Linked DNA regions of Pelodiscus sinensis. The protein of the gene in region 3 interacts with the protein of the main gene of each other region in a pairwise test. Links are inferred from orthologs where the notes say so. Each region holds a gene or a part of one and is shown on either strand. Other genes may lie near its edges. The genes, in order: FKBP1B, IYD, TRIM69 and ASNS.

What was found.
Region 1: the proteins of TRIM69 (region 3) and FKBP1B interact in binary tests that used the Homo sapiens proteins (3 or more experiments, as listed by UniProt). The two-hybrid records come from large-scale screens. The link is inferred for Pelodiscus sinensis from reciprocal best matches to the Homo sapiens genes TRIM69 and FKBP1B.
Region 2: the proteins of TRIM69 (region 3) and IYD interact in binary tests that used the Homo sapiens proteins (3 or more experiments, as listed by UniProt). The two-hybrid records come from large-scale screens. The link is inferred for Pelodiscus sinensis from reciprocal best matches to the Homo sapiens genes TRIM69 and IYD.
Region 4: the proteins of TRIM69 (region 3) and ASNS interact in binary tests that used the Homo sapiens proteins (3 or more experiments, as listed by UniProt). The two-hybrid records come from large-scale screens. The link is inferred for Pelodiscus sinensis from reciprocal best matches to the Homo sapiens genes TRIM69 and ASNS.

The regions. Positions count from the first base shown.
Region 1 is NC_134713.1:14,537,787-14,545,916, forward strand, and holds the start of FKBP1B (peptidyl-prolyl cis-trans isomerase FKBP1B), read right to left. Parts: upstream 3,090-8,130; 5' UTR 2,892-3,089; coding exon 2,855-2,891; intron 1-2,854. UniProt on the Homo sapiens protein: Has the potential to contribute to the immunosuppressive and toxic effects of FK506 and rapamycin. PPIases accelerate the folding of proteins. It catalyzes the cis-trans isomerization of proline imidic peptide bonds in oligopeptides.
Region 2 is NC_134713.1:106,746,699-106,755,037, forward strand, and holds the start of IYD (iodotyrosine deiodinase 1), read left to right. Parts: upstream 1-4,867; 5' UTR 4,868-4,949; coding exon 4,950-5,136; intron 5,137-8,339. UniProt on the Homo sapiens protein: Catalyzes the dehalogenation of halotyrosines such as 3-bromo-L-tyrosine, 3-chloro-L-tyrosine, 3-iodo-L-tyrosine and 3,5-diiodo-L-tyrosine.
Region 3 is NC_134724.1:36,834,029-36,841,711, forward strand, and holds the start of TRIM69 (E3 ubiquitin-protein ligase TRIM69), read left to right. Parts: upstream 1-4,001; 5' UTR 4,002-6,517; intron 6,518-7,683. Other genes in the region: B2M (beta-2-microglobulin), read left to right, coding at 1-39, 2,201-2,214.
Region 4 is NC_134712.1:209,898,953-209,906,759, reverse strand, and holds the start of ASNS (asparagine synthetase [glutamine-hydrolyzing]), read right to left. Parts: upstream 3,105-7,807; 5' UTR 2,946-3,104; intron 225-2,945; 5' UTR 178-224; coding exon 1-177.

The DNA.
Region 1 (8,130 bases), on a different chromosome or scaffold from region 3:
AGGAAAAGCTTCCTAACTGTCAGGGTGGTTAAACACTGGAATAAGCTGCTTAAGGAGGTAGTGGAATCTCCATCTCTGGAGATATTTAAGAGCACGTTAGATAAACATCTATCAAGGATGGTCTCTAATCTAGACAGTGCTTGGTCCTGCCATGAGGACAAGGGACTGGATTCGAGGACTTCGCAAGGTCCCTTCTAGTTCTATGATTCAAAGTTGCATGACAATGTGATCCTATCAGTCTGTGCTTGTGGTCCTGCTCCAGAATTACTGGTCTATGCAGAGGGCACGAGCAGAAATACTAAAAGTCATGAGGTGCATCAGCTAGTTTGAGTTTTCCATGTCTATATCATCCTCCTCTTCCATCATTAGCTCTGTCAGGTGACTTCAGTGGATCAGAAAATGCCACCAAAATGTCCCCCAGCATCTCATGAAAGCTCTCCCCAGTTCCTGAAACAGGAGCAAAAGCAAGCAAGAGAAGTTCTTCCAATGATGACTCCATGTTCCTGGTTCCGATTGTTGGGAGCATGTAGACCAAACAGATGGATCAGCAGAATGCGTTGGTGGGCTGCAACAACTTCCTGTGATAAGTCGGATGGACAGTCAAGTTTTCCCATGATGTGCCACAGACAGCCAGAGAGTGGACACATTTGAGGAGTGTGCTAGGTAGCCTGGGATATGATTGGTTCCACTTGGAGGTTTAGGTTGTCTTGGTGGTACTGGAGCCCTGGTGTGGGGCCCAGGGTCAAAAATTTTTAAGTTAAAAGTCACGGATGAGTGTGGATGCTCAAACCCTGAGCTTTCAAAGCCAGGGTCTGTGAATTCAAATCCAACTACTCCTGGGCTTATGCTGACGCTGCAGTGTAAAAATACTCTGTGTGTCTGTAGAAAGCCTAGCACTGTGGGGCCCTGAGCTCAGTAAGCACTACTTTCACATCCCTACCGCCAAATATGATGCAAATACAATCCATATCATTCAATGTGGAAAGAGATAAAAAAGAGTATGATACAAGTCATCAGTGGCTCATATTCCACCCTGGCATAAATTGGTGTAATACCACCAAATCCATGGAGACACATTATCTTATACCAAGGCTGAATTAGGCCCAATGATGTTAAGACCTTCAACTAGTCACTATAACAAATCAACTTCTGAGTGGATTTGATGGCAATAGAACTTACTGGTTTTGGTTTTAATTACACTATTTAAATCTATTGGATTGGATTAAGCTTTGCAACCAGGCCAAATCACATTTATAACTTTATTTTAAAGAGCATCTTTCTTATGCACCATATCCCAATACATTCTAGAGATAATTAAGAAAATGAGAAGGCTAAATTCTGCCCTCACTAACACTTACGATAGAATAACAGTGGAGTTACTCTGAATTTACAGCACTACAAGTGAGAGCAGAATCTGACCCACACAGCTAAACAACAGTAGAGGGAGAAGACAGTTAAGAGACATAGGCAAGGGGTGGGAAATGATGTTGGTCCAACAGAGTTAAGCCAAGGATGAATTTGGGCCATAACATAGATACGTATGGCTCTATATTAGTAATGATCAAAGATCCCAGAAATCTGTTTGCCACAGAACAATGTGAGAAAATGCAACATTTGTGTTTCTACAGAGAATCTATAGTTTTTACATTTTGTGGAAAAAAAATAAAAACATGTCTAGTGGAACCCCAGGGGAAACTCAAGCTCAGCATTTTATTTTAATCACAGAGAAAAAAAAATCACAAGGATTGTAATGGGTTTTTTTTTAAATCAGGAACTTCTGGGAGTTTTATCACAAAAACTATGATCCCTGGTAATGACATCTGTCTTCAAGAGTTAGGGGAAGATGCTCTAACACCAAAGCAGAGTAGCTATTATTTTGATTTGAAAAAACCAAGCCCATAAAAATCAAAGATTAATACACTCACTAATCTGGAGCCATTACAAGTGTTACAGGTGCAATAACAACATTTAAAATGGGGGAGAAAATAGCTGATCCGGTCAAAATGCTGCTTCCGTGTGAAATGATTCTTGACATAAATGGCCTACTGTTCATGAAACGATTTGGCAATACATCTGTGAAACTTTGTTACCGTGCGTGTTAAATGCCAGCTTTTGCCACAGCCACACACGCTAATCAGCAATCATTTATTATGTTGATTTCCACCCTCTCTCTACAGAAATTAACTGTCTTGCTGCTACTGCTCCAATAATGTCTGGTCCAGAATGCGCTTCGGAAGTGAACTTGCTTTAGCTGCTGAGTGCTAAGGCTCACATTTTAAGGGGGTGTGCTCTGGACTATCATTTGCTCTCATTACCAAATTACTTCCCTGCACTTGGATTTATGCAGCTGTCAGCAAATGCCATTTAAATGTCCCAAACCATTCGCTACCTCTGCTGCTGCCACCAAAGGAGCAGCAGACACCGCAGCCTATGAATCCCAGAGAACCTGGTCCCCTTTCCTCGTGTGCTTCTGATCCAGGAGACTTTCCCCACCAGACCCTCAGGCTTCCCGCCCCCCATCCTAGGAATGTCACCCCCACACACACCCTTCTTTCCCTGCAGTCTTTGATTTCTTCTTCAGCTGCTGGACCCTAGGTTCCCCTTCATCTGGTCTCTGATTATCTTTGGAGTCCAGAGCCCCTGGGGCTGCAGGACCCCAGACTCCTTCCTCTTCTGGTGCCCAGAAAAACCGGACTCCCTCCTCTCACATTTCTCTCAGGCGGCGGCACCCGCGCTCCCCTTGACTCCCCTCCCCGCCCCCCGACGCCCTGGGTCTGCATTGTCTCCGGCTCGCGCCGCGTGCCGCGGCGAGCACCCCGGTCAGCACCCCTCACGAGAGCGAGCAGGTCCCTACCGTCTCCAGGGGAGATGGTCTCAATTTCCACTCCCATTATTGCACGGCTGGTCTGCGGCAGAGACCGAGCAATTCTCGCGGCTGCTTGGGCCACCCTCTGTGCTCAGCTGGGCACTACCCCACGCCACGGACCCTCTGCTGCATGCATTCCCCTGCCGAGCTGACTGACAAGGAGCACCGCAGCTGCCCGTCACACGCTGCCAGCCAATGCAAAAGCTGGGACGGGGGGGGAGCTCCCTACGCTGTCACCCAATCCCCCTTCTCTGCTGCACAGGAAAGGCCGGTCCCTCCCAGGGCTGGGAGTTGGGGGAGGAGGGGCAGGCCTCTCAGGCTGTAGTTCGCTGGGATTTGCTGCTGCTGGAAACATTTAAGGATTTGGCACTTCAGTGCTATTCCCTCCCAGCAAGGGCTTGCTGCTTCCTCACACCGCATATGCTCCTTCAATAGCTTTGCAGAAATTGCATCCCTATGTGCTGGGGAGTAAGCTATGCGGGCTGTCCAGAAGGATGCATTGCTTCCTTCAAGGCAGCTGATACCAGCTCAGTAGTCCCCAGTCCAGTGGTACCAGACCCAGTTTTGGTGTGTGGTACAACAAGCGCCAGCTCTCTTCCTGCTAATGAGCGTCTGTGTCACCATTGTGTCCCCACTGCCCACTGCTTCTAATTCACTTCTGTGTCCTCTCACGGGCGGTGGAGTTTGAGCTGCTCCCAACTCCATCAGTTATGCTTGTGAGATGTGCCACATGTGCCCAGGGGCTTCTGGAGACAGGGGGAGCGACAGGGAGAGCAAGGCCTGGAATCCTTACAGCACAAAGGCTAGATTGGAATGATGCTTCCCACATCTCTAGGCTGCATGCCGTAGAAGTGTTTATACTTCCTTGTTGGGGGGGGGGGGGGGGGCGAAATATGCACTACAATATCTATTAATTAATTAATTAAAGAAAAGCTGCTTTTAATGGTTAATTGTTCCCATCATGTTGGATTAAAAGTTGTAATACAGTGTAAGACACACATATTTCAGATATTTGTGTCTCAAACGTCTTTCCTCCTACGAGAATCTGTATGAATCTATTTCCATCAACTCTTAGGCTATGTCTACACTGCGAGGTTTTTGTGCAAAAATGGCTGATTTTGCACAAAAACCTGCGGAGCGTCCACACCTCAAATGCATTTTTGCTCAAGTAAATCAGCAGTAAAATGGCAGAACAGAGGACTTTTGCCGGTGTAGGTAAACCTCCTTCTATGAGGCATAACTCCCTTTTGTGCTATGGCTATTGCGCAAAATAACTGGCGCCAGAAACCCCTATGGGAAAAAGCACAGGTGCTCTGATGGCCATTCTCTGAGTGGCCATCAGAGCTTTCTTGCACAAGAGTGTCCATGGAGCATCCATCACTTTTGTGATGAGCTTTGAGGTGTGGACGTGCTCTTGCGCAAGAAGTCTGCTGTGCAGACGTAGCCTTAGGGAATAATTTTGCTGACAATTCTCTTTGGTTGTGGGAAATGGTCTGATCTTTTTTGTTTTTTAATAGGAGGAAGTGTGTCCCTCTGCGTCCAGTCTGTACAGGTCTGACATTTGACATCTGTCTTTGTAGTTTATCTTAATCGGTATATATCTGTCAAAACAGTCCCCAAGGGTCAATAATATTTCCATAGGGGTTCTGATGTTGCCTATAGGTATTACAAGGAGCCCTCGCTATTTGAGGATTCAGTATTCATGGTTTCTGTAGCCCGGTGGGGTACGCCCCAGATAATGAGGGGTGTCCCCCTCAGGGTCAGTGGGTGGCTACTCCAACCCACTACCCACAGTTCCAGTCTGAGCCCCAGTTCTAAGCGGAGCTACTGCTCTTGCAGTTTATGGGCCCACCCAAGGGCAGGGCAAGGCAGGGCTGCAGCAATCTAGTAGTCTGTAGCCCGGTCCTGGTCCAGGGCGACACTGCTATAGCCAAGCAGTCTCTGGCCCTAGTGCAGGGCGGGTCTACAGTCATTAACCAGTTAGGAAGCCAGCCCAAACACAGGGGAGGCTAGCACAGTTAAACAGGCAACAATTAAATGGCTAGAGGCCCAGCCCTTGGGCAGGGCAAGGGCTTCACACAAAGCAATCCCACCGGTTCACAACCAGTAGGTGCTGGTAAGTAGTCTGCCTCCTTGTTCAGGAGGGGTTCAGGCACCTTGCCTAGGGCTGCCAACCGCAGGAGGGGAGACTGCCACCCAATCAAGCAGTGGTAAGGGGGACGCGGGCTCTCCCTGCACCAGTGCGTCCCAGCCCAGAGCCCTAACAGCAGTCAAGCAGTCAGCTGCTGGGTCAGCAGGGATCCCGGCCCAAAACACACTGACCTGTTATGTCAGGGTCAGCGGGGGTCCACGCCGCAGCCTGCTGACCTTCAGCCAGACCACGGTTGGCTATCCCTGGGCCGGCTCTGTTTGTCCCCTCCCCCATATGGTACCTTTAGTTGGGGCAGGTCTTCAGGACAGCACGGGTTGGAGTCCTCCAGCCAGATACGCAGGCCCTCCAGGTAATCCTCCAGGAGGGCGCCCGGTGGCCCTGGCCAGCCATATGCTTTCCCCAGGTCCGGTTCCTTGCTGGGTTGGGTTGAGCTAAGCAGGCTTCTGGCTCCCCAGCTGTCTGGGACGAGCAGGCCTCTGGCTCCCTTGCTGGCTGGAGAGAGAAGGCTTCTGACTCCCTCGCTGGCAGGTCCCCAACTGGCCTTGCGGGAAGGCCTTTTATATCCCTGGCCCCAACCTCGGCTTCCTCCAAGGTGAGTCATCCAAGTGAGCCCACCATGGCTCAGGGAGGGGCGTTTTCTCCCTTCGGATCAGTGGGTGGCCACTCCAACCCACGACAGTTTCGCATATCCATTGTGCACTGCGCCGCACCAGCCCAAGTACATGATGCAGTGTGATGATGCTTTTTCAGTGTGCTCTACTAAAAAAAATTATGTGCACTAACTTACAGCAGTATTTCAGTATTAATAGTATGATCCCTCTGTGGAACGGAGCCTGAAAGTTAAAAGGGAAAATGAATGATATCCACATTTCCCAAAGTCACAGTCCTATGCAGCAAAATATAGTCAGAATGTATCTATACTGAGATTTATCTGAAAAATCTCTTACTATTGCTGTATCAGTGGGATGATGGCTCTATCAATGGCTCTATCGATGACAGCAGAAGTATGAGAATAGATTGGCCATTTTTAATATCATTTGCCATGCATGGAGCAAGTCTAAATGGAATAATGGCAAAAATACAGGCATCCAGGCTACATGATTACTCCCACTATTGCTAACACCAGAGAGAAAATACCCATACAGTGGTGGAAGATTTCCCTAAAACTGTACACAGAATCTCAGGTTTGGTCATCACTTGCTACAGAAACCAAAGCATATTTTAAACACCCTTCTCTTCTATTCACTACACTGGGAAAATGACTGGTTGAAAATGGATCCTGGATTCCTCAGACAGTTCTCAGCCAGTATTGAATATGGTTTAACTGCTAGAACAGACAGAGACAAAACATCTTCTTCATTCCTGATGGAACTTGCCATCTTCCTCAATTTCTATAATGGGTTTTGTCCTATCTGCACTATCAGCCAAACTGTTTTCAACACCTACTTGGTCATGTCCCAGTGTCTGACACGCCTTGCCAACAATTAGGTGTGCAGAAGGGGGACAAGCAGGAGTGTGGATCCTCTAATAATCAGTGGGAGCACAGAACTTTTCTGGCCCCAGGGCCATGGTGGGGAGAGCAAGATCATATGGCCCCATAGCCAAAGTGGGACCTGATAGCTCCTCCAGCCCTGGGATTGCCAAGGGGCCACAAAATGTGCCCTCCAAAAGCAGTAAAATTTAAATTTGTGCATGCACCCTGCTAACAGTAAATAATTTTCCAAATGTAAATGGTTACAGTGAAGACAAGGTTGTCTAAGTGATGTTTAGAAAGTTCAGTAACTGTTTGTCATCAAAACGGTATAATTATTCTGCTAGAAATGTCATTAACCTCTTCTCTCTTTTACAAGTCACAATGGATTTTCAAATGAGAGTGATCTAACTGAGCGTGAAAACTGTAACAAAGAACATTTAGCAATGCAAAATGCCTCTAATTATTTGATAATGTGGTGTGTTCAATGACTTCACAGTAAGTAAATTTCCATTCTTACTCAAAGCCAACAAAAAGTTAGAATTTTTTTTTATTAATAACAACCTAAGTGAGAGTCAATCACTAAAATCAGGAATAATTTGGCCAATGAATGATGAGTCAGAGAAGGAGAAGATCCATTAGATCATTCAAACCTCTTTCTTTGCCAAAACAGGATTCTTCCCAAAATATGTTTCCTAGTAGGCCTCTGCCCAGTCCAATTTTAACTGTTCCAAGCAGTAGAATCCCACCATATGCCTTAAGAGACTATTCCACGTCTGAATACAGATCACCCTCAGCAAATGTTCCTTCCTGTGATGGGTGGAGAAGTTTTATTGTCAAAGGAAAGTATGGAGTACTCATTGGACAATTTGCTTGGTGTTTCCAAGAGGGAGGGCTGGGGAATGATATATGGTGAGGGAGGAAATGAATGGGGGTCTGTTAGGCTATGTCTAGACTACAATGATCTATCAGAAAAAGGTACACACAGTTTTTCAGAAGAGGCTTTTTCGAAATATGACCCATCTACACTCCTCTTTTGGAAAAGCTCTTCTTCCTCGTGGAAGGAGGAAGACAGGGCCTCCAAAAAAGCACATCTGCTCTTCCAAAAAAAAAAAAAAAAAAAAAAGAGCAGATGCGTTCCCTGTATGCAGCAGAGTAGTCTAGACATAGCTTTAGTTGGGAGAGTGATTGGATAGGGCAATCCCTGGTTGGGAAGAAGTTAGTAAAGGGGGAACCATGCTTTGTAGACATAGCCAGAGAGTCTGAGCCCAGGTTCACTGCTGGGTGTGGGAAAAGAAGTACCTTCTCTATGGCTTAGTCCTCTTCTCCCCAGTCCTGTGGAGATCCCTTCAGGTACTCCATGATGTTCTGCCTCTACAGGTTGGCTATGGAGAGTGTAGGTGGACTGGCAGGTTCTTGCACAGTTGTGGAATTGTCCTACTATAACTTGTGCAGAATTTCCCTCCATACACAGAACCGCACACAACAGGAATGGCCCAGGGAGCTGCTGACAGCCTGTTTCCTGCCAGAGCCATACTGTCTTTGTGTAGCAAAGAGCAAGAGGTATGACGGAAAAACCTCTGTGCTGACATTCTTTGTTGCTGGTGGCTTTCCTGAGATTGCAGGGAAGTAAAGGTTGGG
Region 2 (8,339 bases), on a different chromosome or scaffold from region 3:
TGGCTTTTATCCAAGATCATCAGGGATGCATACTCTGGTGTCCCTAAACCTGTGACTATTGTTCTCTGTAAGCAGTGTGCTTGTGCAGCCACTTGAGAGATTTAAATGCCACCCAGCTGATTAGCAGAGCACCCACAGCTAGGTTTTTGTTTCTATTGGTAGTGCACATTTGCATGTGCTTTGGTGCACATAAAAATATATTCTGCACATGGATGGAAAAAATCTGCAAATAGATGGAAAAGACTGGAGGGAACATTGCCTGTGACTGCCAGAAGCTGGGACTGGATGACAGGGGATGGACCGCTCAATAATTGCCCTGTTTTGTTCATTCCCTCTAAAGCACCTAGCACTGGCTATTGTTGGAAGAGAGGATACTGGGCAAAATGGGCTGTTGTTCTGCCCTCATATGGAAAGATGGAGACTTCACGATGCTATTGTGAAGCTTTCTTAAAGGAAGTGGAATCGTTAAGTAGAAAGATGAGGGACATGCTCATCTTATGAAGAAGGTAGAGGAGAGGGGATGTGTTGAAGAGTTGCTGACTGGGACACATTTGCATAATTTCAGAACCTTGGATGAGTGCTGAAGGACTGCTCTGCTTTCACTTGAGGCCTCTAAACAACTATTGCTTATTATGCATATTTAACACATGTTTGAATTCATCTGCTTTGAAATAAAAGGCTATATCTGGTTCACTAAGCTTTTGTTTTCTTTTCATAGCAGAAAAATGAGCACATTTAACTTAATAAGAAATGGAAAAGAAATTACTCTGGGCAAGTGCTTGCAATATGAAGGTCAGTAGATTTCCAACCAGGTACTTATGGTCTCCAAAGTATCTGAGCACTTCTTGGGTATTTCAAAATAGAAAATTATAATAAGTCTTTCATCCTTCCCACCCTGTGGGCGAAACAGCTTGATTAGTTTTTAGTTGTGTGTGGGGAATGTTGCTTTTCCAAAAATGATATTTTTTTTTAACATTTATGACTGGTTAACAAAAATCACCAGTAGAAATTCAGGGTTTAGAGCATAAATGGTGACCATACAATTCTGGCACTGTCTGTTATGATGATGATTGTTATTTTATAGGTAAACTTTAGATTGAAGTAAACCTGTATTACATGCTATTAAAGAGACTAGGAAAATACAATTATTTTTTAAATTGACTGTCATCCCCCACCGATCCCTGAGTGCATGTTGGTGTTTACTGTTTGAATGTTTATGGATGGAGTTAATGAAACTAAATCAGATTTTAATAAACCGGGGCATTGTGGGAGTTCTGTCAGATTGAAGTTAACTGTCTTGCTATGATTATGGATTCTGCCTAAATTAACACTGAAGGGCATTTAATGCAATATGCGCTGTATTTCTCTGGTTTGCAAGGGAATAATAAATAAACCATTTCCTCAGAGAATGTCAAAATTGTTTTATGAGAAAGAGATGATGAAAAAATTCTCAGTATCAAAAACGTAATTCTTAAAAACATTACCATTCAACAGGTTATACTCTGCCTCTTTTTTCTTTATCACTAAACCTTTAGCTTGACTGCTTTCTCTGGGCACAGTACGCCAGTGATGGTCTCACTAATGCTACATGCAGCAGAGGTAATGCTTCCCTTCTGCTTCTAATGTGTATTTCTCTGTGTATACATTCAACAGTCACACTGGGAGCTCATCTTCAATTGATTGTCCCCATGACCCCAAATTGTTTATAGAGTTACTGCTTTCCTGAATATAGTCTACCATATTTAGTCTTTTTTAATTAATGTTTAATCATTAGCCATCTTAAATAGACATGATCAATTTTCAAAATCACATTTCCATTTGACAAGCTAATTTTGGAGCTGTTCTTATTACCAATAGCCCGAAGATTAATGTAACTGAAAGAAATTAGCAAGAGAGAGCACGAATGTTTCTCTTCCCCCCCGCCCAGTTGGTTTTTTCAGCGTATTGTGTGTAGCCAGCATTGCTGTTTTTCAATGGTACATGCCTTTCCCCATGACTTGGAAGAGAGTGTTTACCATTAACAGCAAAGCAGAGCAAAAAAATCAAGTGACATTAGGCAGAAAGAAGAAGTAGAGTGGAAACTCGTGGGATAGAGGTATCAAAGAATGTTTGAGTGGTGTTCTCTGGCCCATTCAAAGATTCTTCTGTATATCAATGTAGGAGAAGACCAACACTGAGCTTTTTTTTTTTTTTTTAAGAATTAAAAATAAATAAAAGGTACCTTAAAATCCACTTTCTGATGAAGTACCCTTCAAATAGTAAGCTGACAGTGTTCCTTTAAGAATGGCAAACTACTTAAAACAATCTGGAAGTAAAGCTGGGAGAAATGGGGGGAGGGGGAATAATTGCACAGAAAAATGGATCAACCCAAAAATATTCATAAATGAGACATGAGTTTTCCAAATAGAATCAACCCCCAAAATCTTTTTGGGGCATTTAGGTTATATCTACATTACCAGGTTATTTTGAAGTAAATTATTTAAAAAAATAATTCCCAAAATAACTATTTCAAAATAAGCTTATTCCTCCGAAATAACAGGATTGGTAGTGTGGACACTCACCTTGTTATCTCAAAATAAGGGGAGTTACTTTGAAATAATTCCCCCAGTGTAGACATGTCCTTAGATGCCATTCAGGGAAGTGGTGGTGCTCTCTCACTAGGAAATTATTTCAAAATAACTTATTTCAAAATAATAACTCCCAACATAACTATTTTGAAATAGTATGTCCACTCTACAGGGAAGCCTCGAAATTAGTCTGAGATAGGCTCCCTTATTGTGGATGTGCTACCTCAACTTAGAGCCCCAGGAAGCACTGGGGAGTAGTTTGCTGCTATTTTGAAACGAGGCGCATCCACACTACTGCTATTTTGAAATAACTTATTTCAAAACAAGTGTTATTCCTCGTGGAAAGTAGGAAATAATGAGCTTGGTAGTGTGGATGCTCTGCTTCAAAATTAGGGGAGTTATTTGGAAATAACTCCCTAGCGTAGACCAGGGCTTTGAGGTTAGCCCAGTAGTTCGGAATCTTACATGGGATAAAGTATCTGGTGGCCCAACAGAGGCTAATCCTGGTGAACCGCATACAACCCGTGGCCCACTTATTGCCCACTTGTGAGCTTGATAAATCAGACTGGAAGTAAGGCATAATTTTTTAAGTGAGTGCAATTAACCTTGGGAACAATTTATTAAGAGTCATGGTAGTCTCCATCAATGATTACTTTTAAAACAAGATTGGCTGGTTTCCTGAAAGATCTACTCTAGTAATTACTTTGGGGAAAATATATGGTCTGTGTTATACAGTAGATTAGACTAGATTGGGGTGAAGAACCTTTTTTGGGTTGGGGGCATTGACCCACAGAAAAATCAGTTGGGGGCCAAACAAACACAAAAACCCCTCACTGAGCTGGCCTCTAGGTGAAAAGGAGAAAAAGAAACCTGCACAGATGTGGTCCCCAACTTAAAAGCAGGGGGAAAAAAATACACTCTTCTCATTCCCTTGAAGCTCTAACCCCAGAGAAGGGGTATGGTGCTGAGGCTCAAGGCTTATCAGGGCAAAAATAATGCTTCTGGGGGTCCCAGGCCAGTAGATTTTGTGGGTTCCTCTAAGCTCTGGGATGAAAAATGAGGGGTTCAATGTGAAGGAGAAGGAACAGGTTGGGGGTGAAGGTTCAAGGTCTGGGGAGGAGGGAGGGTGCAGGAGTGGGATGAGGATTTCGTACAGGAGGGAAAATGCAGGAACAAACTTGGGTGATGTGGGGTCTAGAAGGAAGGGAGGGTTCAGAAGTGAGGTGGAGGTGTGTAGGGTGTGGGCAGGGGATTGGCAGCCTATCTGGTACAGTTCCCGGAGGGCATGGGTATCGGCAGAAATGCCCTCTCTGCAGGCTTCATCCCCCCCACACTGCTCCCATTGACTGAGATTCCTGGCCAATGGGAATGACAGTGGTGGTATCTGGAGAGAGACCCACAATTATGGCCCCAAATCCCGCAGGCTGGATCAAGGCAAATTGCAGGCTGGGTCATAGGTTCCCCACCATTGGACTAAATGATGACAAGAATCTCTTCTGGCCACAGAATCTATGAATTGGGAGAAGTATGCTTCTAGCCCTAAGGATTGTAATAAAATTGAAGCTGAAACACTGAAAACTAAACTCTCAGAAAGGAGATAAAACCTACAGATTATTTTAATCTCAATTTTTTGGGGTGGAGGCTGTCTTATAACTTTTTGCATGCTTGGGGTTTGCAATACTGAAATAAAACAAACAGAAGACAAGACCATAACACAGGTGTATATGGCTGGTGGAAGAGAGGGAAGGCGGGGGGGATATAGCTGCCTCCCCAGCTATGTAGGAATTGCATTGATAAATAAAAGAAAAATTGTAATTGGACTGGAGCTCATGTACCTCACTTTATTGGAAGTGGACAAATTTAGTCATGGCATACAACTGCTCATTCAAGTGATAGTCAGCAGTTTAACTCCAATTTAACTCTATCCCCCATATTAAATAAACTGATAAAGAAATACCTAAATAAAGTTGGCTTTGCCGCTGCACAAAATCAAAAGAAAGGTCATAGAAAACAAAATAAAGAGCAATTGTGATAGCACCAGGATTCCCACCATTCCCTAACTATGACACAAGCACTGCAAAGACATTGCTAAGAGCCTGGTGAGAGAGAGTTGAGATCCAGTAGTTTGAAAACTGACCGACTATGTCAGATTTTAAAGAGGGTGCCAGCAAATGAAGTATACTACAGAGCTGCAGCCACAAGGAGCATTTGCTTCTGGGAAAACAACAGAATTAGAGAGTTGAACTTTCCTCTCTCTCACTACATGTTTTGTTCCACCCCTTTTTGCTTATCAACCTCCAACCAACCCCCAGTTTCTTTCTCTTTGTAAAAGAAACTATCAGGGAAAGGGAGAGTATACCCTTCTAAATTAAACTGCAGGCCATGGAATTCTTTTCTCCCCTAACACCAGTCTTTGTAGCAATTATATGTGTTCTAATTGGCATAATACTGAAAAGCAACAGGAAAAGCAGCAAAAAAGGGAAGAGTGAGACTAAAAGTAAGTCTGAATCTCGCCCATGGGTTGATGACGACCTAAGAGACAGCACTGACCTTCATGTAGATGAAGAAGGTAAGGAAAATAGAATCCCACTAAGCATTTTTGTGTCTAATTTTCATCTGTCAGTATGAATAAGGAAGAAATGATCCTCTAAACTGAGACAGAGTTAGTCCGCACACACAACTTTGCAGCTACAGTGCACTGCAGTTCTTTAAGTCAGATCATCCAAACATAGTTAATACTGGGCAATAGGATTATCTTAAATAATTAATTGTGGGTAAGATTGCTTGCTCCTGCAGGAAAAAAATTGTAAAGGAGGTGGGGGTCAAAGAAGAGAAAATGCCCATTAATTCCTCTGCTGGAGTTTTATTCCCATACCTTTTACTGGGGGGTAGGTCTTGATCCCCAATGAAACAAGCTAATGGGCCAGCCTGCAATTCTCTAGATCCCTTTGGGTCATCAGATTTTGTAGCTAGTGTCTGATGCAGCATGCACCCCCTATGACAGGTTCCCATGCAAAAGAAAGCTTTAGGGATGTAGTGTCTTCTGAACCTGCTTTACTTGGGGTCTGAGGAAAGAGCAGGCAGATGCACTATCTCTATGGAAGAGGGCGATCTGAATATAGATCTTGGGACATGTGAATAGATGATCTCTGTATATAGATCTTGGGACATGTGAATAGATATACTCCGGACTGTATATATACATACATTATAACATTATGAGCATTGTTGTCATAATTGAAGCCAAATTTTGTCAGATCTGTTGGCTCATTTCCACCTGTTGTTTATGAAAGCATAAATATATAACATTTTTTAAAATAAAAATCTTCTTTAATTGTATAAGTGGCTCAACTGTTTAGTCGTAGTGCACACACAGCTTACATTGATACCCTTATGTTAGGACTGTAGGACTGGTATCTGCTTGGAAGTACAGAGATGGTCAGATTTTTCCAGAAATAGGCAGGCAGAGAATTTGAACCAACAAAATGTGGTATTGATTTCACACTGGGAGCCATTAGTGAAGGTTCCAGTACCTGTGTGGACTCACTCTCTGGTCTATCCTGATGCAGAATTGGTACATAAGTGAATATGCATACAAAATGTTCACTTTCTCCTTTGTGCTTTTTGAATGTATGTTTCTTCTTAAATTAATGCTGCAGATTTTTGCTCTCTCTAATTTTAGAGCTCTTTTAAAAACTCTCATTTGATGTAACAACTGTTTCAGTCACTATGGGTTTAAAGCTTTAAGTTTAGGATTTTATCTCATAATGATACATGCTGTCTCAGAGCCCACGTCTCCAGCTCTTCAAACTTCAACCACTTTTCTGCTCCTTTGCCTGTTGCTAATGCATATTACCTGTCTATTTGACAAACTTTTTAAAGTTTAATTTACTAGTATGTATATCCAAAATCTCAATAATGGAACCTCATTAAGTTATAAGTCACTGTTTCCTAAATTATCTATAACTTTTTACAATAATCACTTCATCTACCATATCCTCCTTACACAAAGTAAAACCTAATCCTCTACAAAATTAATAAAGTCCTCTCCCTTTATCATTTTATGCTTGAATTTTCTAATTAAACTGTGGCAAATTAAAATCCCTGTGGCTAATTAAAGTGATATGTGAATTCCCGGTGTGGCACTTTGGAGTGCGCATGGCTCCATCAGTTTAAAATGTACATTTTCTAAACGAGAAAAAACATTTTAAATCCTTCAAGAGGGGATTTAGTGCCAAAGTGTCATATTTAAAATGTTTTATATTTTTTACACTTTTACATGCTTCTCTTTTCTTTTTTTTTAAAAATACCAGTAATTTAAAATGGGTCAACTTAAAATATTGTTCAAAATATTCAGGTTAATTAAAATCAACTTTCATACACAACACATATTTTTGTCTTGTTACAAAAAGGAAGATTTTTAGATAACTGTCCTCTGCTTACTCTAACACAATAAACATCCACCCCGGTATTGCAGGATTTTTTCACTTTTGAACAACAAGCAATCACTCCTCTATGTACAGTACAGTTTAAAGTCCAATGTCTCTGGAAAACACGCACCTGTTTTTATCTCCAGAGAAGTTAAAAGAACAAAGATGTAACATTCTCTGAGAAAATTCTGCTCTGCTTCACATGGAAACCTGCATGACTTAGGTACAACTGAGATAAGAATATGGCTTTCCCTGTAGTGATTTATTGAGCTAATAATGCCATAATTAAAGGTCAGATCATACTCCCAAGTCGGTAGTAAAACTTACATTGACTATAAACTTTATTTTATTTAAATAACTTCACTCACTGACTTAGGCTCATTTCTACCTGAAATATCTCAGGTCTGACCTGTAGTTACAGGAGAATTTGTTTTGTGGAAAGTCTTAGCTGAATGGGACCAAGTAGTTCTAAGATTATGTCAACACTAGAAATTGCCCCGGTATAACTGTCCTAATATAGCTACTGCAGGTTAACTTCCCTAGAGTGGCTGCAGTGGTATCTGCATAAAGGTGTCTTAGACCAGTATAGCTATATTTATGCTGGTGCCCTGCCTACACTACAAATGATTTGCCAGTATAGATATATTAGCTGGACATGTATGCAGCATAATAACACAACCTCCTCAAATGACACTAGCTAAACTGACAGTCTCTCGTCCATCGACATAGCTGCATCTATGCTAGGTATTGTGCTGCTTCGCTATACAGGCAGTCCCCGAATTACGCAGATCCGACTTATGTTGGATCTGCAGTTACGAACGGGGTTTTTCTTGCCCCGGAGGACGGGAGCGGTGGGAGGCCCAGATGCGCCGCGGTCCTGCAGCCCGCGTCCTCCAGGGCGAGAAAAGCTGCTCCGCGTCTCCCTGGTCTGCTGGGGGGGGGGGGTAAGCCCCCCCAGCAGACCAGAGAGAATCTGAACAAAGCCGCGGAGCACGCGGGCAGCGGGACAGCCCAGACGCGCAGCGGCTGTCCCGCTGCCGGCGTCCTCCGAGGCTTTGCTCTCTGTCTCCCTGGTCTGCTGGTCTCCAGTAGACCAGGGAGATGCGGAGCAAAGCCGCAGAGGATCCGGGTGGCGGGACCGTGGTGCGTCTCAGTCCTCTGCCTGCGTCTCCCTGGTCTACTGGGGGAAGGGTCGCAGATAGTGTGCCCTCCCCCCCCCCCCAGCAGACCAGGCTTTTCTCCGGACGCCTGTGGTAGAGCAGCTGGGGCGCTGCTGGTTGGTCCCGTAGCGCCGCTCTGGGCGCTACTGGACCAACCCGGCGGGGCAGAGCAGCTGGGGTGC
Region 3 (7,683 bases):
AGCATTCCGCTCTTCAGACTCCTAAGAAAGTCAGATGGGGTGAGTATTTCACTGTATCTATTTTGTTCACATCCTCTGTCAGGAATTGCACATGGGATTTGGATTCTCTTGCTCCTGAGATCCTGCAGCCAAACTGTCCTGTTCATTGTATGGTTTAGGTGGGTTGGGCTTTAGGGAGCCCTTCAGGGTCCAGGGCAGCCAAGTCATGCTTCTTCACGGCAACGGGAAGTGGCAGTAACCTTCTCTGCTCCCCAAGCTGCAGGGCTGGGAGCTAGGCTGAAGGAGCACACTGGAGCGGGCTGGGGCCAGGTCACTCTGCTTCCTGCCACTGGCTTGAGTGCTGGGGGAGCGGGTGACCCCTGCTGCTGGTGCTAGCCCCTCTCTTCTCCCCCCCCCCACCATCTGGCTATCACCCCAAGCTCTCTCGCCTGAGTAAGGGGTGCAGTGGGTGGGGGCAGGACCTGCATGGGAAAAGGTGGGGCCTGGGTGGAGGGGGTGGCAGTCCCAGTGACCACACACCCCTAGGGATAGTCCAGTCCTACACTTGTCAGAGAAAGCAGGTAGTCTGTTTAGTCACAAATCTGGTGTATCCTAGGGTTGTTGGAGATCGTGCAATTGAACAGCCGTGTAACTGCATGAAATCTTAGGGGTTACACAACTATTGATGGTTGCTGGGGGTGGGGCTGGCAGCCAGTGTGCTTGTCATCTGGCGGCTGCTCCTTCTGTATCAGAAAACAGCACAAGGTGGCAGGTGAGACTGCTGAGCCAGCAGTTATGGAGAGCCTGCTTGAAAGCTGGCTCCCTGGGCGAATGGCTCCAGCCTGCTTACCTCACCCTCAGTACTGCTACCTCTCAATCAGAGGCAACTGCGCGGAGGGGAGGGGCAGGCAGGAGAGTCCAGTGGTTGTGTGGCGCTTTATTGAAACCAGCTCCCTGAGGGCACTGGCTCCTGCCTCCCCCGTCCCCCGGGTACAGGGAAGGGGTGAATGTAGTTGACAGTGCTTATCGGTTAATCGTATAGTCAACTACACATTGACATCCCTAGTGTCCCCCTCCCCCGTCGTTTTAAAATGTAATGTAATAGGGTGCGTTCCCCAAGTCTCGTCTCTGGGCACCTTTGGCCACCGGGCTCCAGTGGAACAGTCTCTAACTGCTAAAGAGAATGTGTACATTTAATACAATATATTGGAACATCAAGTAGCAGTGGAGGAAATGAGAGTAACTTGTAGAATTATTGGAGGTGCTGCTGCCAGGTCTGTAGAGGTACAGTAGTGCCGCTGTAGGGTTTCCCATGTAGGCGCTGTCCTGCTAACAAAACTAAACGACCCACGGTGAGCAGCATTAGCTATGTGAGCAACAGAGCCTCTCCTGTCTGTGATGGGTCGAATCACAAAAGTCCCCTTGAGTCTGCCGCCCAATATGCTGATCATACCACTGAGCCTGCCTACCTGCCCTCTATGGGACCCCAAGCCCCTGTATGGCTTTACCAGAAGCTTTGGTCTCCCCAAGCCAAGGCACAGAGTTGGGGTAACAGTCCCTGTGGAGAGCAGTATAGTCACTGAACCAGCTCACCTATAGCACTTTGGCAGCATCCAGGAGCACAGCACTCAGATGGTACTTAAACCCCCAAATAAATCTGCTTACTCTGTAGAAGCTTTACACAAGGAGCCTTATCAGTGAATGAGATGCATATCTCTGGCTCCCCCCTCCTCTGACAAGTTTACACTGGGCTTGATGATAAACACTTTTTTTACCAAGTATAAAAAGTAGGAATTAAGTGGTTGCAAGTGAAAACAGACAGATCAAAATATGTCACTAAGCTAAAATAAGCAGAACATGCCAGCTAACCCTAATACACAAAGAGGTCATTGCAGATCATAATTTTCACCCTCTTTATCTCAGATGCAATTCTTCACAAGCCAGAGTTGGTCTTTTGCTGGCTTGGGTCTAACAGCCACTTCTGTATCCTCCTGGGTAGGAAGGCAGTTTCAAAGGCCAGCTGAAGACCATTGATTGCTACCTTTTCCTTACTTTCCTGGTGTGGGAATCCTTTCTTTCTTTATTTCTCCGTCTGGCTGCTGGAGTGATAAGACCTCTCCCAGCGCTGCATTAGAATAGTTATGATTGGTAGGAGTGCTATTTGTGCAGCACAGCCTTGTCTTAGAAGTGGACTCTTAACATCCTTTGTCCTCTCTTGCAGACCCTGATAATTAACCTGCATCTTAGACGTATATGGTAAGTTTTGCATATTTAATTTGTTGCTCTCCAACTGATTTTGGCACTGGACTGATACGTGAGCTGAAGTTCAGGGATAGAAAGAAAACTTGCGCCACACTGAGGCAGAAAGGTAGAGAGGAGGAACAGGCAGCTCTATCTGTAGCTTAAGTGGTAGTTTAGAATTGTGGGTGGCCTATTATTCCATTTCTTAGCACTTGTAACAATATCATGCCCTTATGGAGACTTTTCATAAAGCTTATGACTTCACTTGACCCTTGGGAAGAAGGGTTCATTGTACAGTCACCAGACTGCCTGGTGTTTTTTCTTGGTGGATGTGGAGAGGTGGATTTGCCATTTGGCAGTCTTTATGGTCTAGCTGTGCCTCCTGAGAGGCTGGCTAATAGTGTATTAGGGTTAGAGGGACAGAAGTCACTGTAAGGCATCCTTTGTGTGTCTGCAGGCAGTCTCTTGCCTGGCAGTGCTGAAGCAACTTAGTGTTAGTAAATGGCTACAAATGGCTTTATGTGCAGCACCAGCAAATGCAGTGCACCCAGTGAGCAGGTAAGGGGTGAAGCTTCCGTTGTGGTGCTTGAACTATTTCAAAAGCTTTGGCATAGAATAGAATAACCCTTTGCAGGTGCAGCTGCCCTTGGGATCTAAAGCCTAGAGCTGCTGGGATTTGCACTGGTTTGCGGCTGGGATCTTGGAGCCAGGTTCTCCCTTAGCTTATGTTACAATAAAGAATAGGCATTTTTTAAATTAATAATCTTCCCTGCCCCTCCTCCTTTTCAGGTCTGAGGAACTCTGCCTTGCAATATGAAAAGCGCTTACACCCGATCTGTTTTCCTGCGTGCTCTTCACACCCCACTCTCACTTTGTACTGGAGCTGAATGTTTTAGCTTTATGATGATTTGTCTGGGAGTGAGATGTGGAGTTAAAAACTTTAGTGTGAAATGTTAGATGTGGGTCTGAAGCTCAGACTCATGAGCTGGCCTTGCACCCACATTCTCAGTGCTTTCTGCTGGGGGGAGGGGGGAAGGGGAGGGAACCTTTGTGTTATCTGATGGACATGCTATAGAATCATAGTATTTACACATATAAACCAATCTTGTGTTGGGCAGTCTGGCAGCTGTGCTGCAGCCACTTTAAACTGGCAGTTATAAAGGAAATTGTAAATGTGGCTCAGCCTTAAGCAAGATCCATGGGTCTTGTAATCCGCCCATGGTGTGCTCATGATATTAATCAAGAATTTGAATTGCAAAATTGGAAGATTTTTGTCTTTCCTGTAGCGTCAGAATATAAGAGCCCTAACAAGGTCCCTGGAGGCAGCAACAGTCCTAGCCAGTTATGGAGTATTGAGGTCTACCAGGGTCTGGGTGCAGCATGTTGCCAGAGGCATTTGGGGGGGCAATAATGACACTTTCAAGAACTCTTGGCTACAGCATTCCTTTTTACAAATGCCAATCAATAAAACTATTGCCAGTTGCATACACTGATTTATTGCGTTAAGTCTAAATTTTGTGGACAACCTAGTCCTAGATGGATCTGTTCTGCTAATTGAAGAGTGTAACGCTTTGTATGGTTCTTAATTGTATATAATGATACTTTAATGATACTTAAATATATTTTAAAACAATCAATCCTGTGGAAGTTGTGGTTTCTGAAAATGGAGAGGGCATTTCTTGCCTCACATTGAGTACAGCAGGGGGTGTGGAGTATCTATTAATGGCCTTGCTGTAAGCGGGACTGCTCAAATCTGTTTCCCCTTGCTGGTAAAGGTAAAAGTAGGCAGTTTTGTTCCTAATCCATATACTCAGTGAGTTCTGAGACTTCCCTTCAAGTCCTGTGTAGCTCTGCTCAAAGTACAAATCCTTTGCTTTTCCCTCTGAACCAACTGTGTTTGAAGGCAAATGCTCTGTTTGACCGATGAACCACACTGAATGAAGTGATAGACAAGAATGGTCTCTGAAGTCAGTGTGTGTGAAGTGGAATTCCTGGGGGGTGAATGGAAATGCCATCTGAAGGTTGGGCTTAAAAAAAAAAAACATTGACTTTATGCCCTGAGGAGGGGGTACCATTGTCCCTGGATTATCTGACCCTGAAGGCTGGACCTCAGACCCAAGCTGTGCAAAACAGGGTGATCTGGGTTAAGGTTCATAATAGCCTCAGCTGGGAGGGACTGCAACTGAAGCCTTGTGGGGGGTGGGGGGACACAGCAAGGTAGGGTGGATCTCCAGTTTTCCTACCATACATGTAGGTTCTTTTATTTGTTCTGTAGTGCTCATACCTTAAGACTAAATGTGCTTGCTTAGAATGTGCTGTGGTAACTTCACTGGACATGTAACTACTTGATCACCTGAGGAGAGCGCAAGCACCAGCACCAACTTTTTTGAAATAGTCTGTCTTGCTGAGGAAGGAACTGTGCAGCCTGGAAAACCCCTTCTTGGGAGGGGAAGAATTGCTTGTAGACTTTTCTGGCACTTTGAGCCTTGCTGGGTGAAGAACACAACTCCTTTAGCATTTAATTAAAAAAGAATCTGAAATGACAAGCTTCCATGCATAAGCTTACATTAAGGTCTGTACTGATTTGGTCTTTCAAAATAGCAAAATATTTAAACAGCTGGGAAAAATGAAACTAGATGGGTGAAGTTCAGTTTCTCTAAGTTTCATTCAAGTTTCACAAAACTGCCTCTTGCTTGAAGAGATCCTGCTCCTTTGCAAGTTACCTGCCAACTTAGGTGTTCTCACAAGTGTACTTGTGCTGTAGAAAGGCAGGATGATCCAAGGTTCCTTTCACCTGAAATTGACAGAGCAGTTGGCAGCAAAAACTTGACTGGAATCCACTTCTGAATTGTTCTCTGGAGTTCAGGTATGTCAAGAAACAAGCTGAAAGGAATGGTGCACAAACAGAAGTTCTAGCTCCACCAGAACTCTTGGCTTGAAGGGGAAATCACTGGGTGAACTGTACCTGTTATGATTATGGAAGTGTCTTAAAGAGCAAGTGTCCAATATAGAACTACTTGGAGGCCAGGTTGGAGCCCAGGATTCATAGGCAACTTCTTATCTTTCTTCCCCCCCCCCCCCCCCCCCCCCAAGGTTCTGTGCTGAAATACAGGGTTTGCTCAGAGGTTCTCTAATTACACAGCTTTAACCGCAGGCTGTGTAATACCTCCTTTTCTAAAAACACAGGAATCAAGACAAGCTGGCATATTCTAGTTGCCTTGGAATTTATCTGTAGTTTAAAACACAAGGGTATCAAATTATTCATCCTTGCTATTTTAGGCAGTTGGAAAAGTAGAACAGAATGAGAGTAATAACTTGCTTTACTAGACAGTTTCCAATCCCTTTCCTGCATTGTTACTCATGAGTGGAAGGTGGCACTGTGTGGGTAGCAAAAACGAGGGAGCTACTAGGTCTTTACTAAAACTCTATGCTTTGGAAGGTGAAACAAAAAATCCACTGCATTGTTATTAATTATGTACTGGAAGTTCACCTTTAACCTTTATTATGCAAGTAGTAAGTATCATTACATTATTACCACTGCCTGACTCTATTGCTACAACCTACCTATTCTCCCTAGGTTCCTGTGACCTCATGGACTTGCACCAAGCAGCTAATGTTTGCACAGCACGCTTGGGGTATGTTTGTACTGCAGTGTTATTTCAGAATAGTGGATGTTCTAAAATAAAGCGCATCTACACAGCAAGCTGTTACTTGGACATAATGTCAAGCTGGAGGAGTTTTTACTCCAACACTTGTAACCCTCATCTCATGAGGAGTAAGGGATGTTGAAGGGAGAGTGTTCTTTGACTTCTTGTTGTGTAGAGCATGCTGAAATCCAAATGAAGCTGTTTCCACTTCAGCTATGGGATTGATGTAGCTGAAGTTGCGTAGCTTAATTTGACTTTTGCCCTGCTGTGTAGACATGCCCTAAGATTGTATCTACCCATTTGCTTTCTCCACTGACTAGCAGAGCTCCCAGGAGGAGTCCCAGATTCAGCAAAATTCTCCTTCTTTGACCTTTCCTCCGACCCTCCTGTCCTTGAGGGCTGCTGCCCCATAGGGCTTGACTCCCCTCCAGCACTGCAAAGGGACCCTTTCGCACAAGGTCGCAGTGGGTGGTCAGCTTTGGTCTGGCCTGCAGGTGTGTGCCCTCGGCTACATTTGAGTGCCATTGTGACCTGGTGTATGGGGGCAGTGGTCCAGAGCTGTAACCTGCGTGGTAGCTAGGCCGGGTCACAATGTCCAGGGTGGAGAGCTGAGCCTGCCAACTCCTTGGGCTAGGAGTTGCTGCTGTGGGGTGAGTATGGGGCTAGCTTCCTTGTCAGTTTCCCTCTGCCAGGGAGATAGGACCCATCCCAGGCTAACCACATGAAGTGTTGGGCAGTGTGGGCTAGTGCTGAGAGTTGTTGCCTCTGGGCTACAGAAACCTAAGCAATTGGAACGCTTTCATCCAGGACAGCTCTGCTGGGCAAGGGGCCATCCTGGGAAAACCTGGCTGGGGGAACCCTCCTCTTGCTGGTCCTGTTCTCTAGAACCTTTCCCTGCGGGGAGAGAGCTAAGTAACTGTCATTCTACTGCCCCCCCCCCCCCCCCCCCCCAACTAACTGACCTCCTCTGAGAAACCTCCCCTGTACTCCAGGCCCCTCTCTGCACACCACCGGTCTGCTTTGGAATCACACCCGGACAGCACCTGCCTCTGGCTGCCACCCTCTTGCAGCATCTGGGGAACAACCTGCCCCGTGTTGCACTTACCCACATGTAAAACCCTCCCTGTGCCGTTTCCTGGGGCGGCGCTCGCTACGGCCAGAGCTGGTGCCGTGACAGCTGCCTTGTTTCACGTCTCCCAAGTCTCTGTCAGACACGGGCCTGGTCCCAACCTCGCCGAGAGCCAAAGCCACTTAGGGTAACGCTCCCTAGGTTCGATGGGCCTAGTCCCTAGGGTTTGCTGAAGCCAATCACCTTGGGGTGGATCTCCCCCGAGACAGGGGGCCTGGACTCATGGAGATCTATCCACCACCTTGCTGAGGGGGTGGGTGGGGACAGCGTTGGTGCTATATCTCGGGGGCAGGGTTTCTCCCACGGAAGAGCAGGATGTGGGGGCAGGCCGAGTACCCTGAGGTGCCTTGAAGATGTGTGAGATAGAAGCACCCTGGGGTGAGTCTTCAGTACAGCTGCTGCCTTCAGTCTGCCAGTGCCTTCCTCCAGCCAGTGCGCCCTGTGCCCCGCTGCTGTTCCCTGCCGCTTGGTGTGTGGTGTGCCACTGTGGGTGAGGCAGCCTGTGCCTGCCTTCCCCTTTGCTCTGGGACTACCAAGCCACGGTACAGGCTGCTGGCAGACGGAGGGTTTCCTATCTGGCTGCACAGCCTGGGGCTTGCATCTAGCTGGGGGCAGGCCCTGGGCAAGAGAGGGGCTATCCAACTCCCTCTCCACAGTGCTGGAGGAAGAGGAAGCTCCTCCAGAGGA
Region 4 (7,807 bases), on a different chromosome or scaffold from region 3:
CATGCCATATAACTGATCAACAATTGCAAGACGATGGAAACCAAAACAACAGTTGGTGAAGCCATTGACGTTTTCAAAACGAAATGCATCAGGACCTCGGTGGGCTATTTTCATGGCACTTAGACACTGAACAGAAAGGCATTCATCACTTCCAAAAAGGGCCCAGATACCACACATTTTGAAATTGGTTGTGAGCTGACTCTCAACTACTTAAAATGAAGAACCTGTTAACAGAAAGATATGTCATCATACAACATGCTTTAGCTACTGCTGATCCTAGGAAGCATATTTAAATTTCTTGACTACAGATAATTAAGTACTGACTTATGAAGAAAGCAACTTGGTTTAGGCCCTATTGACAGAAGGTTGATTAAAAGCCAACAACCCGGAAAGAGGACATTAGCAAAGCTTTCACAGGACAACAAATCAGGTTTCAGCTCAATTTTAGATATGGTAGATGTGTGTTGTGAGTATGTTGGTTATTTCTTGCTTACAGAACACAGACAGTCTCATATTTACAGCACAGTATCATAGATTGAACGGATATAGTCAGGAGTGGGAATAAAACATCATTTCCATTAGTCCTGTTAAAAGCTACTGTTCTAGCCAAAAAGAAAAGAAAAAAAGAACAAAGAAAATTTGTTAATGTTTTCCTGTAGCTCTGGGGTGGGGAACCTTTTTTCAGTCTGGGGCTGCTAACCCACAGAAAAATCAGTTGAGGGCTGCACAAAAAAACACCCCTCACTGACATGGTCCCTGATTGAGGAGAACACACTCCCCACATTGCTCTCTCACACCAGAGCCTAGGAAGGCCTAAGCTAGCAGATTTTGTGGGTCCCAACCCCACGGAGGGTTGCAGGGGATAGAAGGCTAGAACACTAGCTCTGATTCCTGAATGCTGGGGTGGGGGATCCCCAAGCCTCAGGAGATGGATCCAGACAAGCCCCGGGGCCTTAGATTCCCCACTTCTGCTATAGCATGGGATCCCAAACTGGGGGGCATGAAGAAATTCCAGGGGGACGCGAGGCAACCCAGCCCTCTCCCCATCAACACCCTCCTCCCCTAAGTTTTGCTGCTATTTTTGTTTTTTGGCCCCAGTCAATTCCTTTTTCAATTTCCTTTTTGCTCAACAAGCCTTCCTGCTATTTGGGGGGGGGGGGGAGGGGGCATGAGGGTTTCTCACAAATCAAAAAAGGAAAAGTTTGGGCACCACTGTGCTATAGCAAGGAGGTAACCCTAAAAGAAATACATCCCTCACAATTTCTAACAAGACACTGCAATAGAAATTAGATATTAAACTTAATCAAGTTCTCCAATGGACGGGACTAGATCACATAAGGTTGCATATGTACTAAAGATGTTAAGAGGAGGGTAATTTGCTAATCATATAGTTGACAGAATTTTTATCGACTACATGATTAGTCGATAAGGGAAAAAGCACTCACTCCCAGCTTGCACAGTCCAGGAGCTACACTCGCAGCGACTCTGTAGTTTAAATGTAGTAAGATCCGGGAGGGCAGGCAAGTGCAGAGTAGCAGCAGGAGTCCATCCCGCACCCAGCGCAAGCCAGGATTAAGCCAGGCTTCCTGGCCAGCCTGAGCAGCCCATCTGCTCCAGCAGCAGCCCCTTCCCATAACCCAAGCCACCAGAGACAGGCGCTGCTTGGCAGTAGCCTCCCCTCACCACCCCCTTGCCTCTAACAGAGGCAGCAGCATGGGAGGGGGGTGAGGCAGGAACAAGGGGGTGGGGGCAGGATCCCATTTAATAAGTTAAACCTAAGATTTAACAGGTTAACTGATTAAATGGTATTTTACATCCCTATAGACAAAACTGACTGCATAGGCAATTGAGCTTTTTCACTATTTTGTATTTACTCTATTGTGTGTGGCCTTCACTAAGCACCAAGGTAGGAAACTTTGTTGTAAACACAAAATAGGGACATAGATTTGTCAAGCCATAAAAACTGGCTGGCAGGCCCAGAGATAGGTGTAATTACTTCAAAACTACTTTCAGTTTAATTGACGCGATTTTTTTAAACCCTTAATTCTTTAGTAGTAAGCTATGTGCTTATTCATCGGAAGCTTAAAGCTGGCGTAGATTTCTTTACTAACTTATTTTTCCTTCTGCCATTTATACTTAGTAGTCACTATTTACTGTAAATATGTGAAGGACTATTGTATTCTGAGTCTCTCCTGTACTTATGAACCAGCTCCAGATTTGGCACTGTCTGGTTAACGCCGCATGACAACCTTTTCCATTTTGATTTAGTTGGGATTGGTCCTGCCTAGAGCAGGGGGCTGGACTTGACCTTCTGAGGTCTCTTCCAGTTCTATGATTCTATGATTTTCTTAACCCTGGAGTAAAATGTTTGTGTGGGAAGCCCATTTCATTGAGTACAATTTCATGTGAGTCAGATCCTGTCCCCAAGAATCTGAACACGCGCTGCCTTCTTCAATTCTTCCGGCCTGATGCAATTCTGCAAGTCTCTTTTCTCTGATGCAACCTTAGTGCCGCTTTGCCCAGCGCTGAGTCAGGAAGCCTCTCCCTCACCGGGGCTGCAGCGCCTGAGGGTCCATGTGGGCACCGGGCTCGCCCCGCACAAACCCGCTCCCAGGATCGGGACCTCCGCCCGCGAACTTTAAGGGGAGGGGGCAGGGCTGGGGCTGCCTCTACGTCATCACCTAGCCAAAGGGAGCCCTCCGCCGTTAGCGGCTCCTGTGGGCTCTCAGCAGCGCCGCCACGTGCCGCCAGCCGGGACGGAGTCTGGAGACTCGGGGCCCGCGGGCAGAAGCAGCAAGTCCACGTGCCTCGCGCGCCCAGCGGGGGAGCTCGCCCCGGCCCAACCGGGAAGGAGCTGGGGGGAGGGGGTCGCGCTTCCTGCCCAGCCACGCGGGGCCCGCCCTCCCCGGGCACCGCAAACTGCCGCCGCCCTCCCGGCCCGTTACCTCTGCTCCGCCTCCAGCGCCGGGCGAGGCTCGCTGCGGCCCCAGGCAGAGAGGCTGCTGCTCCAGAGGGTCCGACGCTCCGCAGACAGACGCGGGCACTGGCCTGCCGGTGGAATTGGCTCCTCCTCCCGTCCGGCTGCTGCTGCTGCTGAAACACCGAGCGAGGTTTCATCATGCGGGCCCCCCCCCCCTTCGCCGCAGCCCTTCCGGGCTCCGCCCCCTCTCGCTGCCCGAGCTCCCCGCACATCTGCTGTATTGTCTCTTTCTTTTCCTACCCTGCTGCCACGGGCTGGGCCACAACATTTTGGCACCTGAAGCGGGAAGCTCAAATGACGCCCCCATGCCCGGGCCAGAACTTTGAAAATTCTCAAATCTGCCTTCTTCCAGTTCTGCTCCTCTTGTGGCACTTCACCATCTCTGTGCCTCTAGAGCAGAGAGAATACATATGCACCAGCAGCAGACACAATTTTCTGGGTCCTAGTAGTGCTTCGCTTCCTTCCCCCCCAGTCTGGCAACTGAGGCAGCCACCTCAGTTCCCCTCATGATTAGGCCAGCCCTGCCCAGCCAGTTCTTTCATCCCCGAGGCAGTGCAAGGCAGGAAGGGGCTGTAAATCAGCCCATAAGGAGCTAAAGGGCCAGCTGCCTCTCCACATAGTCTCTGTTAATATAGGGCGCTAGGAGCGGGGGAAAGAGACACTCTGCTGCTGCTACCAGATTAAATACAAATACTAAAACGGTAGCATCAAAAATTAATGATCGCTTAAATGTCCCTGCTAGATGGAGCTACTGAGGGCATAGTTAGCTAATGGTGTTTCCGGGTGAGAGGAGCGCAGGGAGGCTACGTGTTCAAGCCAGAGCCAGGGAGAAGGGGAGAGAAGACAAATGGGGGAGAGGAAATCAGAATCTTAAATGTCTGTGTACAATGTGAAATGTGTGGGGAATAAGCAAGAAGAATTCATAATGCTAGTATATGCAACTATGATGTGTGTTTCCTAAGTTTCCTATCCTTGCAGGTAAGGCGGGCAGAGTGAGGGGACTGTTAATCTCCCCACAAGGAACTGAAGAGGCACTCCCCTTCCCACATACTGTTTAATTCAGTAAGGCTGTGTCCAGACTCGAGGGTTTTTTGAAAAAAGTAGCCTTTTTTTGAAAAAACTTCTCCGGCGTCTAGACTACAGCCGCGTTCTTTCGAAATTAAACGCGGCTTTTCTTTCGACGGCGGAAAACCTAATTTCACGAGGAAGAACACCTTTTTTCGAAAGTGCTCGAAGAAAGGCGTTCTTGAATGCAAACAGGGCTTTTTCAAAAGAGAGCGGCCAGACTGCCTGGGTCCTCTCTTTCAAAAAAGCGGCTTGCTTTTCGAAAGAGGCTTGCAGTCTAGACGTAGCCTAACTGAGCAGGATGAGCTTATCCCTTAGCCCAGGGGTTCCCAAACTTTTTGACATGGGGACCAGTAAATCCATTCACGAGCTTTTGGAGAACCAGGAACATATATTTGCATATTCATTAAGCAAATGATGAATATTCAAATAAGTTGTTTCTGGTCCTCCGAAAGCCCCCAGTGCCAGCGTTAGCCCGCTTCCTCCCCCCCCCCGCTTCTCCTCCCGATCTCCCCAGTTCAGCCCTTCTGCCCCCATCCAGCCCTGCTTCCGGTGGCCGGTTCCCCCTGCTCCCCACCAATCTCCCCCGGTCGGCCCCACTCCCCCGACGACCCTCCTCGACCAGCCCTGTTGCCCCCATTCAGCCTTGCTTCCAGCAGCTGGTTCTCCCTTCTTCCTCCTCCTTATCTCCCCCGCCCAGCCCTGGTTCTGCCACCTGCCCTCCCCGATCTCCGCAGGACAGCCCCGCTACCCCCAATCCTGCTTCTGCCAGCCGCATGCCTGGATCTCCGCAGGACAGCCCGGCTGTCCCCAACCCTGCTTCCCAGCGGCCGGTTCCTGCCCCGCCACCTCCTCCCAGCCTGCTCCGCTCTGCTCCCCTCCAGGCAGCCACTAGGCACGCTGAGGCCCAGTATTTTTTTTCCCGTGGCCCAGTAGCGGGCCGCGGCCCATAGTTTGGGAAATGCTGCCTTAGCCAAATTATTACAAGCGGCACCCCGGCCAGCTGCTGGGGAGCTGACTGCTGCCCTGTGCTGCTGCCTCTGTATCAGAGGTAGCAGTATGGGGCAGCAGTCAGTTCCCTGGGAGCAGGGTGGTGGACAGGAGCATGTAACCACTGACATTTTTAGCAGTTACATGGTTAGCCAATTACATTTTAACATCCCTAACTATGACATCGTTGGCATCTCAGAGACGTGGGATAATACGCATGTCTGGAATATTGGTATGTACAGCTGGCTCAGGAAGGACAGGCAAGAGAAAAAGATGAGGTGTTGCCATATATTAAATATGTATACACTTGGATTGAGGCTGAGATGGAAATAAGACACAGACTTCTCAAGGGAAAGGCTAATAGGGTTTAAAAAACACAAGGATGATGTCATGATAGGGGGTCTACTACAGACAACTTACAAGGAGAAGTGGATGAGGCCTTTTATAAACCAATAACAAAATTATCCAAAGCACATGATGGTGATAGGGGACTTCAACTGTCCAGATACCTGGGGAAAATAACATGGGGGGCACAGATTATCCAACAAGATCTTGGAATGTATTGGTAGAGCCAATGTGTGGATACAAAATCTGTATTTGCAATAATGAGCCGTGGATATAGGCACTGAAATCTGCAGAGGTGGAGATGCAGGATATAAAGCAGATACTGGCAAATATGAAGAGGTCTAGAAACAAAATGTGTATCCTCATACATATCTGCAGAAGTGAGCTGCAGATATAAAGCAGATATCCATGGATTTGCGGGGCTCTATGTATTGGAGACATTTTTTTTATTTCAGAACATGGAGAAAACTACTAAGGGAGAGGCTGTTCTAGATTTCATTTTGAACAAATAGGGAGGAACTGGTTGAGAATTTGAAAGTGGAAGGCAGCTTGGGTGAAAGTGATCATGAAATGATAGAGTTTTAAGGACTGGTAGGAGAGAGAACAGTAAAATAAAGATAATGGATTTCAAGAAGGTAGACAATTAAAACTTAGGGAATTGGTAGGTAAGATTTCATGGGAAGCAAGGCTAAGAGCAAAAACAATTGAAGACAGTTGGCAGTTTTTCAGATACATTGTTAAGGGTACAAGAGCAAACTAGTCCACTGCATAGAAGAGATAGGAAGTCTGGGAAGAGACCATCTGACTTAACCAAGAGCTCTTGAATGATCTGAAAATCAAAAACGAATTTTACAGAAAGTGAAAACTAGGTCAAATAACAAATGATTAATATAAACAATACCACATATGTAGGGGCAAAATTAGAATGGTCAAAGCACAAAATGAGCTCTCACTAGCTAGAAACATAAAGGGTAATAAGAAAATATTCTACAGAGGCATTAGAAGTTAGAGGAAGACCAAAGGCAGGGTAAGCCCTCGATGAAGAGGGAAAAACAATAACAGAAAATATGGAAATGACAGAGGTGCTTCATGACTTTGTTTCAGTTTTCACCAAGAATATTGGTGGTGATTGGACACCTAACAACGTTAATGACAATGAAAATGGGGTAGGTTCAGAAGCTAAAATAGGGAAAGAACAAGTTAAAAATAACTTAGAAAAGTTAGATGTCTTCAAGTCACTAGGGCCTATTGAAATGTATCTTAGAATACTCAAGTTGATGATTCAGGAGATATCTGAGCATTTAGCTATTTGAAAAGTCATGGAACACAGGACAGATTCCAGAAGACTAGAAAAGGGCAAATATAGTGCCCATCTATAAAAAGGGAAATAAGGCTAACCATGGAATTATAGATCAATCATCTTAACCTCTGTACCTAGAAAGGTAATGGAGCAAATAATCAAGGAATTAGTTTTCAAACATCTAAAAGATAAGGTGGTAAGTAAGTCATCATGAATTTGTCAAAAACAAATCACATCAAACCAACCTAATAGCTTTCTTTGACAAGGTAACAAGTCTTGTGGCTAGAGGAAAAGTGGTAGATGTGGTATATCTAGTCCTTAGTAAAGCATTTGATATAGCCTCACATGATATTGTTATTAACAAACTAGGGAAATACAACCTAGATGGAGCTACTATAAGCTCCATCTATAAGGTGGGTGCATAAGTGGTTGGATAACTGTTCTCGGTAGTTATCAGTTGGTATCATTGGAAGGGTGTGAGTGGGGTTCTTCTGGGATCACTTTTGGAATGGCCTCTATTCAATATTCTCATTAATATTTTAGGTAATGATCTGATTCTGAATAAGCTGGAGAAATGGTCCAAGATAAAGAGGATGAAATTCAATAAGGAGAAATGCAAAATAGTCCACTTAGGAAGGAACAATCAGTTGCAAACATACATAGTGGGAAATGATTGCCCAGGAAAGAGCACTGCAGAAGGGATTGAGTGGTCATAGGTAAATATGAGCCAGCAGCATAACACTGTGGCAAAAAACGCAAACATCATTCTAAGATGCATTAGCAGGAGTGTATTGTAAGTAAGTCATGAGAATTCTTCTGCTCTACTCCTTGTTGATTAGGCCTCAACTGGAGTATTGTGTCCAATTCTGGGTGCCACATTTCAGGAAAGACGTGGACAAATTGGGAAAAGTTCAGAGTACGGTAACAAAAATGATTAAAGTTCCAGAAAACATGTCTTAGAAGGAAGATTGAAATAAATGGATTTGTTTAATCTGGAAAAGAAAAGACTAAGAAGGGACTTAACAGCTTTCAAGTACAAAAGTTGCTACAAAGAAGTAGGAGGTACTGCAGGGGTTGGGCATGCGGATGGTCTGTTGGATGCAAGGGTCACTTCTGGCGCTGGGTTA